Linked DNA regions of Ovis aries. The protein of the gene in region 2 binds, or shares a complex with, the protein of the main gene of each other region. Links are inferred from orthologs where the notes say so. Each region holds a gene or a part of one and is shown on either strand. Other genes may lie near its edges.

Region 1 (8,087 bases), on a different chromosome or scaffold from region 2:
CTATGCGTTCCCATTTGCTAACCTTGTTTCTTGCTGTGCCCAGATATATAATAAAATCATGGATTCTACCAGCAATGGTCTTCTCTTGGGGGAGGATCCAGCTTTTCCAGAAAGAGGCCCCCATAGGCGATCACGCCATCCCATGTCGAGTTCCAGGGCCCGGGGTCTGAGCCGAGAGGAGGGCTCGTTCTGCCTCCATCCCTGCCCTCCACGCTCTGTTGTATCCTCCAGAAGGTCTCTCCAGGTGGTTTCTCCCTGTGAGACTAACTCTTCCCTGCTGAGACATGGAGTCTGTGCCCCTCCCCTGGATTCTAGAATAGAGCCTGTGACCATCCTGAATAATCATGCTGCTGTTATTGACTTCTGAAGCCAGGCCACACAACATACAAAGGGTTTCTGCCTGGACAACCCCCTTCTCTTTGCTCATCCTCCCATCAGCCACCACACTGTGAGTGAGCTCGACACACAGCAAGGCAGTGAGGCCAGGTGGGCCCTCAGCTCACATTCTGCAACCACCTGCAGATTTGTGTTGAGCTTGCAGGGGGTGGTAGTGCCAGCCTGCCTCCAAAAGGCTGTAACTAACATCCTAGCGCAGAGAGAACCATCTCTGTCTCAAACACAAGGGGTCCCCATGAGACAGAGTCCCCTGTGGCGACACCTGAAGGTGGTCTGCTATGCATCAAGCCCAGGAGCACAGCAGGGTGTGGGCAGGGAGGGGTGTCTGAGCGGGGATGAAGAGAGGTGTTTCCAGAGGGCACCCTGGAGTCCAGGGCCAGCCTTGAGGAATGATTCTGATCTTCACCCCAGCCCTGAGCAGGCAGCCCTGTTGCACCTGTGCCGGCAGCTATACGAAGGACATGACAACTGCTGGCCCTCACTGAGCTGTGACTGTGTCAGGCTACTTGTTCTAAGTACTCACATATATTCCCCCAATCCTGACGCAGTAATGCTATCATCTTTCCATCTGAGTCACAGGAACCTGGGCAAACAAAGGTCCAGGAGCAGGAACTGTCAAGCCCACATCTGCTTGTCCAGGGGGATGTGTGAGCAGCAGAGTCAAGACCACCAGTGCCTGTGGCCAGCTTGTAGATCACGGTCAGTTCCAGACAAACCTTTCTGAAGCCCCCACAGAAATGGAAACACCAAAGGCCATGTTTACTTTGATGCTGTTTATTTCGAGTTTTTCTTGCTAAATGCCTTGTCTTTGACTTAAGGGATAGAGCCTGGCTGTCTGTCCACACGTGACCCCAAAGGTCCTCAAGTCCTTCTCTGCTTTATAGTCTCGGGCTCAACGTCAGCAAACCCCACTCACCCACAGGACTAGGCGCTCAGTGTACAGGGCTGAGAAGGGTGAAGGCCCCACAGGAAACCCTCCTGACACAGCACAGCAGAGCTCCATGCCCGCTTCAGCTGTTCATCTAACACAATGACAAACAAACACCCAGACCCCGAATAGCTGGGAAGGCTACAGAGTCACAGAGATGGAGAAGCAGGGAGGCACAGACGGCAACCTGAGGCAAACCACACAGCAGAGATGGCGAAGTCCTCCTCAGAGAAGGGACTTCACCGACAGCCCAGTCGGTAGAGACCCTGGCTGCAGTGCAGGAGAGCTGGGTTCGTTCCCTGGGATGGAAAGACTCCCTGGAGAAGGGAAAGGCTACCCACTCCAGTATTCTTGTTTGGAGAATTCCATGAACTACAGTCCATGGGGTCACAAACAGTCGGACACGACTGAACAACTTTCACTTTCCTCAGAAAAGACCACCCTGAAACACGAACTCCAAATTCCTGGTCTGCTTTGGAGCGGGGCAGTTGAGGAGGGCTGCCCTGGCTGAGCCACTTTCTCAGGAAGCAAGGTTAGCAGGCCCAGAAAAGGCAGGGGCCACGGAGTTCAGGTCTGGGGGTATCTGCTGTGCCTGCAGTGACCAGATGAAGACACTCTATGGGTAGCAGCTTTGAGCCTGGTGACCAGTGGACAAGTCCCTGTGACTAGGTTCACTGTGAGAGGGCAGAGGGCGAAGTCAAAGCCGTGGTACACAAAACGGGGGTCAAGGCACGGCCACAGGGTCCTGTGCAGGGATGTCAAGGAGGACAGAGATAAACCCAAGCCCCAGGGACACAGAGGCAAGCAGGCCAACCTTACTGTGTGAGCAGCACGCACTGGAGGAATGGTGACCGTCAGGCAGAACACTCAGGAGGCCAAGGGCCCAGCCAAGTGCAGCAGAGAGAAAAGGGCTCCATGGCAAGCGTCTGAGGAGAGGCCGGGCCTGCTGGGCAGGGAACCAGGGAGAGGAAGAGGAGCGGCAGAGTGCCAGGGCCAGAAGGCGAGGTCCGCACGGGCAGAGGAGAGGGCAAGGTGGCGAGAGGAGCGGATGCCCCACACGCGGCACGAGTGTGCGGGCAGCTGGACGGTCAGAGTGAGGAGCGTACCCAAGAAGATGGGAACAGGAACCAGGAAAGACACAGAGCCAACGACTTCTTACAAGCGTTTTTTATGGGAAGACGAGGACACCGGGGACTCACAGGGAGGTACAACGAAGCCACTGGTTTGGCTGGGCCTGTTAGTTCAGTCCATAGGAGCAGGGGACTGACCGAGTGGACACTGAGGGCCCAGGGAGAGGTGGGCAGACATTGCAGGTTAGGGTTAGCTTAGTGGAAACTGCCCACAAACCCTCAAAAAGTGCCCTACAGTTCCTAAGAAAAGTCACTATCCAGAAACCTCCCGCGTACACCGACAAAAGCCCCGCCTCACACCGGGCCTGACTCTGAAGCGTCAGACGGACATGTCTCCAGAGGTCTAGTCTCCGGGAAGCAGGCCTCTGGTGCTGGGCAGATCCTGAATCCCGTGAGAACATCGGCTTCTGCTCCTGGACACACGGCTGGGAAACTGCAGGCCTTGGGCCCCAAGTCCTCAGCCTGCGCTGCAGTCCCTTCCTCCACCCACACCCCCTGCCCATCCCCGAGGGCCTGGTTTCAGTCGCGGGACTGGAGGGCAGGAAGAGGCCACTCAGCAGGACCTTTGAATCTCTCCGGGTCATGGATGACCAGCAGCCCTGGCCAGAGAAACTGCAGTCTCCGGGCTGAGGACACTCAGTTGGAGGTGACAGCAGTGATTTGAGCTTCACAGCCACACCCCCTTCCTGTGTCAGCTCCAGGCAGCTCAAACATCAGACACAGCCTCATCCAGACCAAGACAGCGCAGAGAAGCCTTGAGATGCTCAGAACCTCAAGGGCCGATGAAAGGACTGCTGCTCACAGGCGGCCGTGTCCAGGATTCCCAGATGCTCTGCTTGGACCCAACACTGCTGGGGCTTCTAGAGCTCAAGGTGGCAGAGGGAGCTGGGCCTAGGCTACCCCACAGGGATAGGGCCCTTGCACACATAGAACCAGCTAACAAGAGCTCACTGGGTTAGAGGCTCCCAACCACGCAGAAAAAACATTCCTAAGCCATGATCCTCATTTCAAAGGAGTATTTTGAAAACAAGTTCTCTGGAGCCCAAAACACCAGACAGAGGAAAATCCTGGTTGCCCCAGGCACCCACAGAAGCCAGTTCCCATTGGCTCACGTCCTTGCCCTCGACAGGAGGTAGGAGAGGATGAAGAAGGCCACAATCAGGCCCACAGCCATACCACAAAGAAGCTTCCGGTTGTCTCGCCCAGATCGCGCCATTGTGGAAAACCGCTTCACACTCCCTGTGAGTAGACCCGTCATACTTGTGAAATCTGAGTCCTGAGGGAGAAATTCCAACATTGTCACAAAGGGACAGTGACTCTGCAACACACACACACAGATGGGGGCTGCAAAGCAGGTGGTGGGGAGCTGAGCTGACCGTGACGCTTGCAAACCGCAGGCCCTTACCATGCCGTCCAGGTACCGGTTCTGGTCCTCCGCATCCCTATCGATGTCCAGAGCCAGCTGGTCAGGACACAGAGGGGGCAGGGTCAGACCGGGACAAACACAGTGAACAGCACCTGACCCCCAACAAGATCAACAGAGATCAGAAGATCCAAATGCCACCTGGGCCTCGCACAGATGAGTATGCCACAGGTGGGACAAGGAGAACGGAACTACCTGAAACCCATCCAGGTCTTTACTGCCCGCTGACCACCCCCTCCAGATGCCAGGTGGAGGCAAAAGGAGAGGACCACCACTGACCGATTTGAGCCTGGTGACCTTGGAGGCCAAGCTGTCAGCCATCCGCTTGTTTTCTCGGTCTAGAATCTCCTCCACAGCACCAGGGCTCTGAGCTGTGAGGAGAGAGAGAGGCTGAAAGCATGACTCCGCTCATGAACCGTGACCCCTATAATCTCGGCCCTTTGTGGCCTCCGGCCTCCAATCCCATCTGGCCCAGTCAGGCATCTAAGGGGACCCGGCCTCTGTGTGTCTGCTGAGCAGGCCCCACCCTCACCCAGGATCCAACTTCACACATGAGGAGGACTGTATAAACAACAGTGTGAGCACAGGTCCTGTGCATGTATCCAGGCTGGGATGGGTGGGCGGGCACCTCCAAAGGGCTCAGTTCAACCAGTACTTTCAGACATTCTGTGACGGAACTTGTACCATCCCTCCGCAGGTGTCACTAGCAAGGTACACAGAACCTGTTCTCAAAATAAACCCCAATGAGCTCTGGTAAGACTTACAGGGCTTGAGACTGATCCCACACAGGGTCTTGTGTGTCACCCAGAGCCTGGTACCCGCTGAGAACTGGCCCGAGACAGGCGCTGGGCCTGGTGATTCAGAATTACCACCCTACCAGGCTGGTGAGAACTGTTTCCCACAAAGTTCAGAGTGCGCATTTGCCTCGAGCCCGATGCCTCAAGGAGACTCATCAAAAGCGGGCACAGTCTAGGAACCATGGCTTCTTACAAACCCCAAAATAAGAGGTGTAAAGGTCCTACCGACCGACTGTACCCTTAACTCCTTAAAAGTCACAACAGCCCAGCGAAACAAGCATCAGCATCCCACTTCGCAGGTGAAGAGAGACTCCCAGAAGGCAAGTGGGGTACTAGGCATGCTTGGGCCCTCCTATCACGCGCAGCTCTCACTCCGAGGGGGTCTAGCCTCAGGGACCCGTCAACCAGGAGACCCGGCCGAGGTCCCGTGCAGAGTCATCTCCCAGGGACGAAACGGGTGGGGACTGCGGGCATCCGGACCCCGCAGTTTCACGCAGCAGCTGGGCAGGAGCGCCCAAAGGGACCCAGCGACTCATCCACAGCGCGGCGGGCTGCACCCTGGCCGCCCTGCCCAAACTACGCCCGCCCGCAGTGTCTTGCCAACAACGCCACCTAGTGCCGCGGAGAAAGGCGAAGGCGGTTCCTAAGAGCAGCGGAGTCGGCCCCGGCGAGCCCCGTAGCCATCCGCCTCCGCCCTTCCGCGCTCACCCCGAGCCCAGTCCGCCATCGCGTCCAGCTCCGACCCCAGGGTCCGTCACCGCTTGATTACAGCCTCCTCGGACGTGGCGCAGTCGCCGGAAGGGGCTTCCGGCCCCACCCCTTCCGCCTCAGGCCCCCCACTTCCGGCCGAGATCTGGCCGACAGACTCGGCGGTGGGAACGGGAAGAATCTGACGTTTCTTCCGTCGTTTGACTTGGGGATGGGGCTGGCGTTTGCTCTCGGGACTCCTGGATGATTTGTGGTTTTAGAGGCAACTATGGTGCCCACAGACACTCCAGCAGCCATTCCCGCCTAAGGCGGTGTCGGGGTCCTAACTGGGAAGAGCACACGGGCCTTTCCCGGGCCAAAGAGGCTCCTCGCCGCGACCCCGCCGGGGTTGAGGCCCGGAGCGAACTCGATGGGAAGCCCGGTTCCAGTTACTGCCGGCAGGACAAACGAGATCAGTGCCTGGAACGAGCGAGCGGTGCAGAAGTCGCAGGAGTGAAGCCCTCTGAAGAAAACAAGGAACCAGGAAGAGGGGTGGGAGCGTGAGGGGAGTGGGTACGGGAGGAGCCAGCGCTTTTTGACCTTGCACGCGGTGCTGACAAGGGGCCTGACAAAGTAGATGCTTAACAAAGCCTTCTTGCCCGGTGGATGGGTTATAAGTTACCCACCCCCCGTAATGGAGCAATTGCTGTGCCATGTACTCGACAATCCACTGAAATGGAAACTTGTATCGTCTCTGCTTTTCAAAAAAGGAAACAGCCCAAGCAGACGAGCAGGTGTGCCTGCTTACACAGCAGGGAAGTCACCGCACACAGTCAGACTTTGTCTTCCTCCTGACCTTCCCCCCACCCCGACCCCGTCTCTCTTTTCTCTCAGCTCCAACAGTGATGTTTCTCTCTCCCTCCACGGCCATTCCCACCCTCGCACTGGCCACTCCTGCCTTGCAGAACCTTCCTTCGGAGCCTTTCCTGGCTCACTCCCTAGGCTCCGGTCTCAGCAAAAACTGACTGGCACTTCTTCAGATCTCCTTGCAGCCCATCAAGCCCCTTTTGTTATTCAATCACAGCACTATAGCTGCCTAACGTCGTCTTGTTTGCCCGTTTTAGTCTTCACATCCGGCACATAAGCGCCAAGAAGGCAGGAACCTGTGGGTTCTATTCACCCGCATCCCGGCTCCTCGCGTGCAGTAGGCACTCAAACATCTGTTTAGAAACCAAGTGGTCCGGAGGTTGTAAACTCCTTTCCACCTCGACTTTTCCCTGGACGTTTCATTCGTTCTGTGCATCAAGAGCGGTGTTGGTGTGCGTGTGATGGAGGGGTGCGGGGCTGAGGCCCTCTCCTGTCAGGAATCCTAGCCCAAGGAGTGAGGCTCACTGCTCGGTTCAGGGCGATTCTGGCCCATAAGTCGGACGATCACCGAGCCGGAGTTTAAGGCCAAAGCTGACTCGGCAGCAAAGTCTTCAAGTTCTATCCAGCTGTTCCAGGCCTCGCCCCTTTAAGGCGCCACACAGACCAGAGAGCTCTGCGCCCGCCGGGTCCCGGCCTCCCCTGCGCGCAACCCAGGCCCCGCCCCACGGCGCCGCGCACGCCCCGTCCCGGCCTCCCACGCGCGCAGCCCAGGCCCCGCCCCTTTAAGGCTCCACGCAACCCAGAGAGCTCGGCGCCCGCCCGGTCCCGGCCTCCCCTGCGCGCAACCCAGGCCCCGCCCCACGGCGCCGCGCACGCCCCGTCCCGGCCTCCCCCGCGCGCCGAGCCTGGGCGGGGCGGGCAGACGCTTGCCCGGAATCGCGAAGCCGGGAGCCTCCGGCCTTCCTGGCATCGGGTCCTGGAGGTGCCATGGAGCCCCGTGCAGTTGCGGATGCCTTGGAGACGGGGGAGGAGGACGTGGTTATGGAAGCTTTGCGCGCGTACAACCGGGAGGTGAGCGGGAGTTGTAGACTTGGGACGTGCAGAGAGGAGGTGGGGCCGGGTGGGGCCCGCGCGCGTGGCCGGCTGGAGGGGCGGCGAGAGCGGTGAGCGTGGCAAGGGGCTGAGGGTGGAAGGGAGAGCGATGGGGAGGAGCACCGACTCTCTGAGGAGTTGCGAGGGTGCCGGTGTGTGGGGCTGGGGCGCCATTTGTTCATAGAGGTGCCTTCGGCCTCAGGCCCCCATCCGCGGAACCCGGGTTCTGACGCGGTAGGCCTGTGCCTTCTAGCCTCTGGGTTTCTTTGCAGAACTCCCAGAGTTTCACGTTTGATGATGCGCAACAGGAGGATAGGAAGGTGGGTGCTCACCGGAGGTGGAGGGGCGTGATTGGGTGGCCCAGGTAGAAGGGCCTGGTGGAACGGCTCTTCTCCCTGCCCGCAGAGACTGGCGAAGCTGCTTGTCTCGGTCCTGGAGCAGGGCCTGCCACCCTCCCGCCGCGTTATCTGGCTGCAGAGCATCCGCATCTTGTCCAGGGACCGCAGCTGCCTGGACTCCTTCACCAGTCGCCGGAGCCTGCAGGCTCTTGCCTGCTATGCTGGCATCTCCGCCTCCCAAGGGTCGGTCCCTGAGCCGCTGAACGTGGATGTCGTACTCGAGTCCCTTAAGTGCCTGTGCAACCTCGTGCTAAGCAGCCCCGGGGCACAGGTCCTGGCAGCAGAGGCGGGGCTAGTGGTGAGGCTCGCAGAGCGCGTCGGACTGCACAGCCGGAGTAGCTTCCCGCACGACGTCCAGTTCTTTGACTT
Region 2 (8,250 bases):
CCTTTTGACAAAGTAATGTCTCTGCTTTTTAATATGCTGTCTAGGTTGGTCACAGGTTTTTTTCCAAGCGTCTTTTAACTTCATGGCTGCAGTCACCATCTGCAATGATTTTGGAGCCCAAGAAAATAAAGTCTGTCACAGTTTCCATTGTTTCCCCATCTATTTGCCATGAAGTGATGGGACGAGATAATATATGGTACCATGCTGATTTTATAAAAAATATGGAAGAAAAAATAATGAAAGGAGGCAATATATCAAAATAGTTGTGAACAGCACAATTCATACTTTCACTTTGTGATTCACATTTTAATTTTACCAATTTACTAAAAACAAGAATGTATTTCTTTTATAGTTAAAAAAATTACTTATAAAATATCAATTTTATGCTGAAAACAAGAGAGGGTTCCCCACAGTAGGTTTTGCACCTTGCCAACTGCTGTCTATTCTGTCATCAAAACCCAGAAAGACAAGAAGATACATACCTTTGCCGGAATAGGTCTCCTCCCTGGAGAAGTTCTGCTTTCTCTAGGTTGTCGATAGCAATTTTGCAAGTGAGGTTAGCCTTCCTCCATGAGGTCTGATTGCTGGAATTACAAAAGCCATGTGTGAGTTTCTCTTGATGCCGACAGGCTGTCAGTCAGTTCAAGTCACAGTAGCCTTCCAGCCAGGGAGTGATGGGGAGGCTACCTGTGTGTAGCCCAGAGTCCGTCACCCTTCCCACCATGTCCTCTTCTTGGCTGCCCCAGAAACTGTTTCCATTCTCCTACCACCCACAACAGTCCCTCTCCCCCAGGGCAGCCAGAGGGAGAAGACCGGTCACAGCGTCCCTGTGCTTACAGCCTGCAATGGCTCCACTAAAGGGAAACAGCCAAACTGCCCAGCTGGGCGCACGCGGCCCCGTTCAAAGTCATCTCCTACACATTACTGTTCTGCCCGCGGCGTGGCTTGGTTCTGCTCCTGGAGAACTATGCCTTGTTCATCTTTGTTTCACCAGTACCCAGGACAACAGTTATTGACCCATTAGCTGCTCCATCAATATAGGCAGTAAGAAGTAGAAAAATCAGTATAAGACAGTTTTATTCAATATTTCTTCAAGGTTTGCTGTTCTTTACACCAGTGGTCCCCAATCATTTTGGCACCTTTGGTGGACTTTTTCTGCTATCAATTCTCTTTAGATTAAAAAGGACCCTATATTACAAAAGCAACGAATTTTTTGCTTTTAAAAAAATATAAAATACAGCATAATGTTAAATATGCTTTTGTACACTATACACAGTCCCAGCTACCAAAGAGCCCCGGCTTACCCCCTAGCTTCAGCAGGTTTATTAGGCAAACTCAGGCACAAGCCTCACCGGGAGCAGGGGGCCCAGCGGAGGCCACTGGCCGGAGGCCAGGCCCCACCCACCTGAGCATCTGCTTTTTGTGATTCTCCACTTCTTGGAGCAGAACTTGCTTCTCTGACTCTTTGTCTTGCTCTTTAGCCGACTGCTCAAGCTCCTTTGGGAGGAAATCAGCTCTAAGTTAAAATGATTTTGAAAGGTAATGAAAAACTGGAAAGCACTTCTATTTCTACCAGTTATGCAACAGCACTTGAAAACCCTCCTAGAACAGAAGACTCAGGAATGCTGGTTCATACACAACAAACATCCTTTTACATAGAAAGCTGTCTAAAAAGAAAGAAAGGACCATCCTCAAGAACTCAAAATGAGAAAGAAACTATGAGTCAGAGCAGCCTTCCTGTGAGGGGTGTGAGGCTGCCCTGGAGCAGGGGATGCGTTCCTGCGTTCCTGCGGTCCAGGACGTGCCTGAAAGGAAAAGGGAAAAAACTACAGTAACATAGGAGCCTACTGATCCCACTCTGAGATATGATGGAAATAACACACTGCTATTTGTTTCTACAGGCTCTCAGTCTTGGTACATATTTCAGACTGAATGGCAAACACGGCTTTCAAGTCCATGTGGGGACAGAAAACAAAGCTTTGGCCACCTGAAGCTGGGAACTGGAACTGAGACCACTGCAAAGCCAGGAGCACAAAGGGATACAAATACCCTCAGTGAAAAGGTGAGCTAGGAAAACGTCTGTCAACCAGCACAGAGAAGTTGTGGAGTTTTCTGTTGTGAGACGTGGCTAGAGGGATATAAATGTCTCTCCCGATTATAACCATGGCACTCCCCTCACATGGATCGAGGGTCCAAGTTCATCCTTCCTGAGTGGTTCAAGAACCTCCACAAGGAGAAACAAACATAAAAAGTGCTCCCAGACCTGTGGTAATCCCAGGAGACCTGGCAAAAGCAAATGCAAAAACCTCTGAAGAGACATTCAACCCAGGTCGCACGAAAGCCCCACAGGTAAGGCCTTCTGAAAAGAAAGACTCAGAGCCCCAAATAATCAAACCCCAGGACACAGCCACCCACCTCAGTGAGGGGCAGCAGCCCTCACTTTCTTTTCCTCTAGAACTCTCTCTGCTTCTCTGTGACAGAACTTCCATTTCCCCCACCTTGCCTCCCTCCCTCCCTTCTTCCCACACACCCATTCTTCCACTCAACGATGGTGCTCAATCTGTACCATCATGAGGGATACGCAGCGATCACCAGGAACAGGCCTGCTGTCATTGAGTTTACGCTCCATTAAAGAATCTAGATTTTAAACAAATCATTAACTTAACACAATGCAAAACCTCTCCAATGCACTTTCTTTTCTTTCCCCAGGCGCAGCGTCCCAGCTGCGCACTCACTCACCTGTATTCTGTGCCGCAGTTGCTGAAACTTCTCTTTCACTTTAGTGTTCAGTTCGGTAAGTGCACTTAATGGTCCTGAACAATCTCGAATATCCTAGGAGACATTGAAGAGATGAACGGGCCTTTCTCAAGGCAATGAGAGGAAATGACACCAGCTGTACAATGAGAGAGCTGGCTTAGACCACAACTAAGTTGGACCTACTGGCTGTAATTCATCCTAATCTCTGCTGTTTACCTCTGTAACACAAGCAGAAGCATTATAATTTACTTTTTTTTCATCCCTCTTTGGAGTCAAGTCTGAGCGAGCAACATAGAAGCATAAGCAGAAAGACAACAGTGCGACTTCCCTGGTGGTACAGTGGATAGGAAATCCGATGCTGCGGAGCAACTAAGCCCGCACACCACAGCTGCGGAGCCTGCCTCTGCAACTACCGAAGCCCTGCGGGGCCTAGAGCCTGTGCTCCGGAACAAGAGAAGCTGCAGCAATGAGAAGCGCATGCGCTGCAACAAAGAGTAGCCCCTGCTTGTGCGGTCAGCGAAAGCCCATGCGCAGCAGCGAAGACTCAGTGCAACCAAAAATTAATTAATAAACACGTTTTTAAAACCAGAAACGGACTAAGGAACTAATAAGTCTTGATGTTTAACAGAACAGCATCCAGCCATTATGAAAGACTTAAAGCAGCTTGCATATCCGACAAGAACGAACACCTGAGAGGGCACCATAACTTCAGGTCTTTCCAACCTAAAAATGAGGATGCTAAATTCTCGGCATATGACAAGACGAACCTCTTTAACTGCTTGAACTGATTTTACACACCATCTATTAATATGATAAATCACACAGTTTACAGACATGTTCAAATGTAGATTTCGAATTTGTTTCTGGACATTCAGAATTACCAGGGCCAGGTAAAAAGTAGGCCCTAGAGTCAGACCATGTGGATTCAAATTCTAGTTGCAGCAATTTATCAGATGTATAATCCTGAAAAAGTTACTGAAGCTTCTGTGTCTGTTTACCCATCATTACCCACTTCATAACCAGGTACCCACATAAAGGGCTTAGCAGGAGTTGCCACACTGTAAGGATGTGCTAAATCTAGCTATAATCAATTGTTCTCTTCAGGAGAAAGTGAATCTTGGAGAGTGCAAAATGGGGCTGAGGAAATTTAGATCACCTGAAAAGCCAGTTTCCTTTTTATGAATCCTAAATTAATTCTTCTAGAATTGGCCCAGATGTTTTGTAGTTAATACATGGGAAAGGTGAAGTTCAAAAAGTTTAAATGTTTGTATCAAGTTGTTCTTGTTCTCTGGATTACTCATTAAATCACAGTTCCATGCAACATTTAACGGCTATTAATTTGGTTTATTTTGCACCTGATTTCCGTAGGGAGCTTACTTTCCTTCACCTTTTACCACAGCTAGATGAAGACTCTTACTTAGCATCTAAGGTTGAGTAACACTGCTGGAAATGGAAACCATTTGCCCAAAAGAAAGGTTTAAAACTCTTGGTTTCTTTTTGATAAACTAAAGGAACTATTTCTACATTCCCAACTCTTGCCTATGCCAACTGGTTTACTGAACTATTACCTTCTACCCTTAATTGGCTTAGGCAAAGGATCTCAATCGCCCCATCAGTTAAACGAAGTAGACGCCAAGAATTTTTTCTAGGATGACTTTCATTGTCCGCGTCCCAGTTTTGCCATTATCTACTTTCTGCTCAGGCAGACTCCTTCCTCATTTACAAAATCACAACTACGGTCTAGGTCACGTTCATTTCACCCAGTACCTCCTGTGCCAGGTGGCCTTTGGTGCCACGGGGCATCAGACCAGCAGGGGGCGAGGCTGATGGCCCACAGGACGCTACTGAAGCATGAGGAGGACGGGATCAGAAGGCGGGGCCAGGCAGGATGACAGGTATGTTTTGAGGCTGGCTGGGGGGTGGCGAGGTGACGGCCAGGGGTGTGTAGGGGAGCGGCCACATAGGGGAAGCCCAGTTAGGAGTGGAGGTAGAGGACGGGGTGTCCTGGAAGAGGGCGAGCTAACGGCAGTCGGACGGAATACCAAAGCCAACGATCCAGGGGAGGGGCCATGGGGCGAGACAGTTGAGGGGTAGCGGGCAGGGAGCTGGGCCAGTGGCCTCGGAGACATGACCAAGGGCGGAAAGCTCGGGAGTAAGGCCGCTGAGCTCACAGAAGGCCAGCTGAGCTGGGATTTAGGGCTTCTGGACCCTGGCGGGGACCCCGGGCATTAGTACCTGGATAAGCGCCTTCACCTCCAGATCGAATTTGACAATCTCTTGGTTACAGATACGGACGTGGACATCTTGGGCAGCAGCCATGTTGGAAATGCCGGCTACGGGAAGCCGCGGAGCCCAAGTTCCAACGCGTTTTCGCACCGGTTTCCTTTTTAGCCTCCGGGTCTTACGGCAGCGCCCCCTAGAGACCAGGCCTGAGGCGAGCGAGGGTGGTGGCGCCAAGTCCTATGGCCTTTGCCTGACACGTGGGAAAAATCAGTCGGCCTCTTGTGGTGGACCTAGAAGACGTAGAGAAAGAAAGGAGGGAATTGTCAGGACGCTTTAACAGGGGCGTCTCCCCATATTCTGCCCATCAGCCATTCTAATGACTGCATATTTTTTGCACAGAGAGGGGAAAAAGATTGGAAAAAAATATCCATTGGGATGTCTCTGGAAGGTGGAGTTAAACAATTTTTTATACTCCTTTACACTTTCTTGTATTTTTCATATTTTCTACAGTGAAAATAAGTTGTAGGGTGAAAGAAGAAAATGACAAATGTTATCATTATTTTTTTTAATGTATGAAATTCAAGGTAGTTTGCTAGGGTTAACAACTCCTGTCAGTTCAGCCCACGGTTGGAGGGATCTTTCTAAAATGCCCAACTGATCAAGTCACATTCCAACTTACACCCCTTCTCTGACTCCTGGCGTTTCCCTTTTGTGTGCAATTGGTTTTAATAAATATACTTTGCTGGAGTAGTTTTGACGGATTAATGTAGTTTTTAATGGAAACAAAAGTGAGTCACTTAGTCCTGTGACTCCATGGACTGACTGTAACCTGGCAGGGATGTAACCCTCCTCTGCCCATGGGATTTTCCAGGCAAGAATACTGGAGTGGTAGCCATTTCCTTTTCCAGGCAGATCTTCCCGACCCAGGGATTGAACCTGGGTCTCCCACATTGCAGATTCTTTACCGTCTTTAGAGCCACCAGGGAAGCCTTAAATTACTTAATGGAAATACTTAAGAGCACACCCTCAACAGATGGAGACTCTTTCATTGTATTATTATTATTAACTAGTCCAAGTTTCTTAGCTGGATCTCAAGGGCATCAATCACCCCACCAGCCCTGTCTCCTTCCTGGATTCTTCAAGCTCTTTTTGGAAGTCTAGTCCTGGAGAGAACACCCTCCCTTGAAGCGTTCATCACACCACTGCATCTAATAGACTGGCTGGGCAACGCATCTTGGGCATCTGCCCTGGCTTGAATCCTGCTTGACCACCCACTTCATCTCTCTGTGCCTCAGTCTCCTCAGAGGCTCACTGCCGGCAATCCTAGCATTGACTGGAGGGCTAAATGAGGCAATACAAAAAAGCACCAAGCACACTGTAGTAGCATGGAGCATGGGGAGAAGGCAACGCACACGACTGCCCTTACTGTGGCACTGGCATTTCTGAAGCACTTCCCTTGTGCCAGCCACTAAGTGCTGTATGTGCATCATTCTAATGTAACTCTCACAGCAATCCTGTGAGGTAGAACCATCCACTTCTTACAGATAAGGAGACAGGCAGAGAGAGACTAATGACTTGCCCAGCCCAAATGGAATTGCTAGGTCAAAGGACAGATGCATTTTAAAATTTGGATACATGCTACCGAATTGCTTTTCAGAGAGGTATCAATGTACACTCCCACAAGCAATGCGGTACTAATGCCTGCTTCCTCACAGCCTTGTACACAGTGTCTTTACAAGCACTAAGATTTTTGCCAATCTATTTAAGTGAAAAGTGCCATCTTTTAATTTTCATTTCTCTTATCATGAACTGAAAACTGTTTTTCTTTTACTATCTGTTCATTTTTCTATTAGGTTGTTGGTATTTTTGGATCAGCTCCCAGAGCTATTTACATACTAGGAGGATTTGCCCTGAGAGATGAGCTTTATCTTAGTCAGTAGAATTTTGACTTGGCTTACGGTATTTGGGGCCTTAAAGGAGTTTTATTTGAATTTTTTTGCATTTAGAATCTTTAACCACTTTGAAGTTATGTGTTGGCTTATGGTGTGAAATATAGAGCCAAGTTTACCTCCTCCAGAGGAGTACCCAGTTGTTCCATCACTATTTTCTGAACAATCCATCTTTTTCTCACTGGTTTCAGATGCTGTATTTACCATATAAATTCTTACATCTACACTTTCCATTATATTCTCTTGACCTACTACTCATTCATGCACCATAATGACAGCTTTATTATTACAGTTTAATGTGCTTTAACATTAGGATCAGGCACCCCATTTTTTTCTCCATGTGAACTTAACTGTAATTGTATTGGTATGTCTCACTGGGATGGCACTAAATCGTTACTTTAACTTTGGAAGACTGACGCCATTGACTGCTCCTGTTTAACAACTTGGTCTATCTTCCCGTTTGTTCCAGTCTTCTTCTGGGTCATTCGTAGTATTTTAATGTTTTCCATAGAGCTTGAACATTTTCTGTTAGGTTCATTCTTGGCAACATCTTAAGATTAAAACCCTTAAAAGAAACTGAGGTTGATGTTCTTCAAGTCACTCAAACGTTCTGGATTCTCAAGTAGAAGTTCCCTATTCAAGACAGTGAAGAAAGCCGAAGTCTGCACGTAGTAGATGGGCCCACGTGATCTTGGACCCCTTTCCCATCATGCTTCTTGCTGGAAATTCCTCTTCAGCCAACGGTGGCCAACTGCATCTCCAAGGGGCAGTCACAGAAGGAAACAACATAGCTCTTTTCTCCCTGCTCCAGCACACTCCCTTCTAATAAAAAAGACTCAGTTCTAAGCACTTTAGCTAGAGACCATCTTTGAAGGATAGGTAGAGTTTGGTGACCTGCACTCCCATCACCGACTACTGTCAATGCTCTTTTGCTCTCATCATCTGTACCTTCTAATCCTGACTAGCTTTTGGCTACTACATCTACTAGGTTTTGGCTTTAATTCTTTCTGGTTTTCAAATCCTAAGCGCACTGTCTCCCTCCTGCATAGAAAACCACCCAAATACGGCCTATGACTTGCCTGGCCGCTTACAGGAGAGTATGCACGGCCTCTTGAGTGCTGCGCGCAGACTGCCATCTGAATTGAGAGTTCTGTACCAGGTAAGTTGGGTCTGGGGTGACTCCACACAAGTCTAGGTCTAGTCTGACTCTTCTGTAAAATGGACATGATTATCTACCTGACTGGGTCACAGAATGCAGCAGCTGACTTCCCTGATGTAAAAGCACCTAGCAGGGGCTTAACAAATGCCACCCTAGCCTTCC

The links.
Region 1: BNIP1 (region 2) and BET1L share a complex: the UniProt entries of both Homo sapiens proteins name them as parts of the SNARE complex. The link is inferred for Ovis aries from reciprocal best matches to the Homo sapiens genes BNIP1 and BET1L.

The regions. Positions count from the first base shown.
Region 1 is NC_056074.1:47,477,141-47,485,227, reverse strand, and holds BET1L (BET1-like protein), read right to left. Parts: upstream 5,468-8,087; 5' UTR 5,402-5,467; coding exon 5,383-5,401; intron 4,249-5,382; coding exon 4,157-4,248; intron 3,917-4,156; coding exon 3,860-3,916; intron 3,731-3,859; coding exon 3,563-3,730; 3' UTR 2,477-3,562; downstream 1-2,476. Other genes in the region: RIC8A (synembryn-A), read left to right, coding at 7,216-7,299, 7,593-7,640, 7,726-8,087. UniProt on the Homo sapiens protein: Vesicle SNARE required for targeting and fusion of retrograde transport vesicles with the Golgi complex. Required for the integrity of the Golgi complex.
Region 2 is NC_056069.1:5,003,523-5,011,772, reverse strand, and holds the start of BNIP1 (vesicle transport protein SEC20), read right to left. Parts: upstream 5,086-8,250; 5' UTR 5,077-5,085; coding exon 4,993-5,076; intron 2,833-4,992; coding exon 2,740-2,832; intron 1,498-2,739; coding exon 1,406-1,497; intron 585-1,405; coding exon 483-584; intron 1-482. UniProt on the Homo sapiens protein: As part of a SNARE complex may be involved in endoplasmic reticulum membranes fusion and be required for the maintenance of endoplasmic reticulum organization. Also plays a role in apoptosis.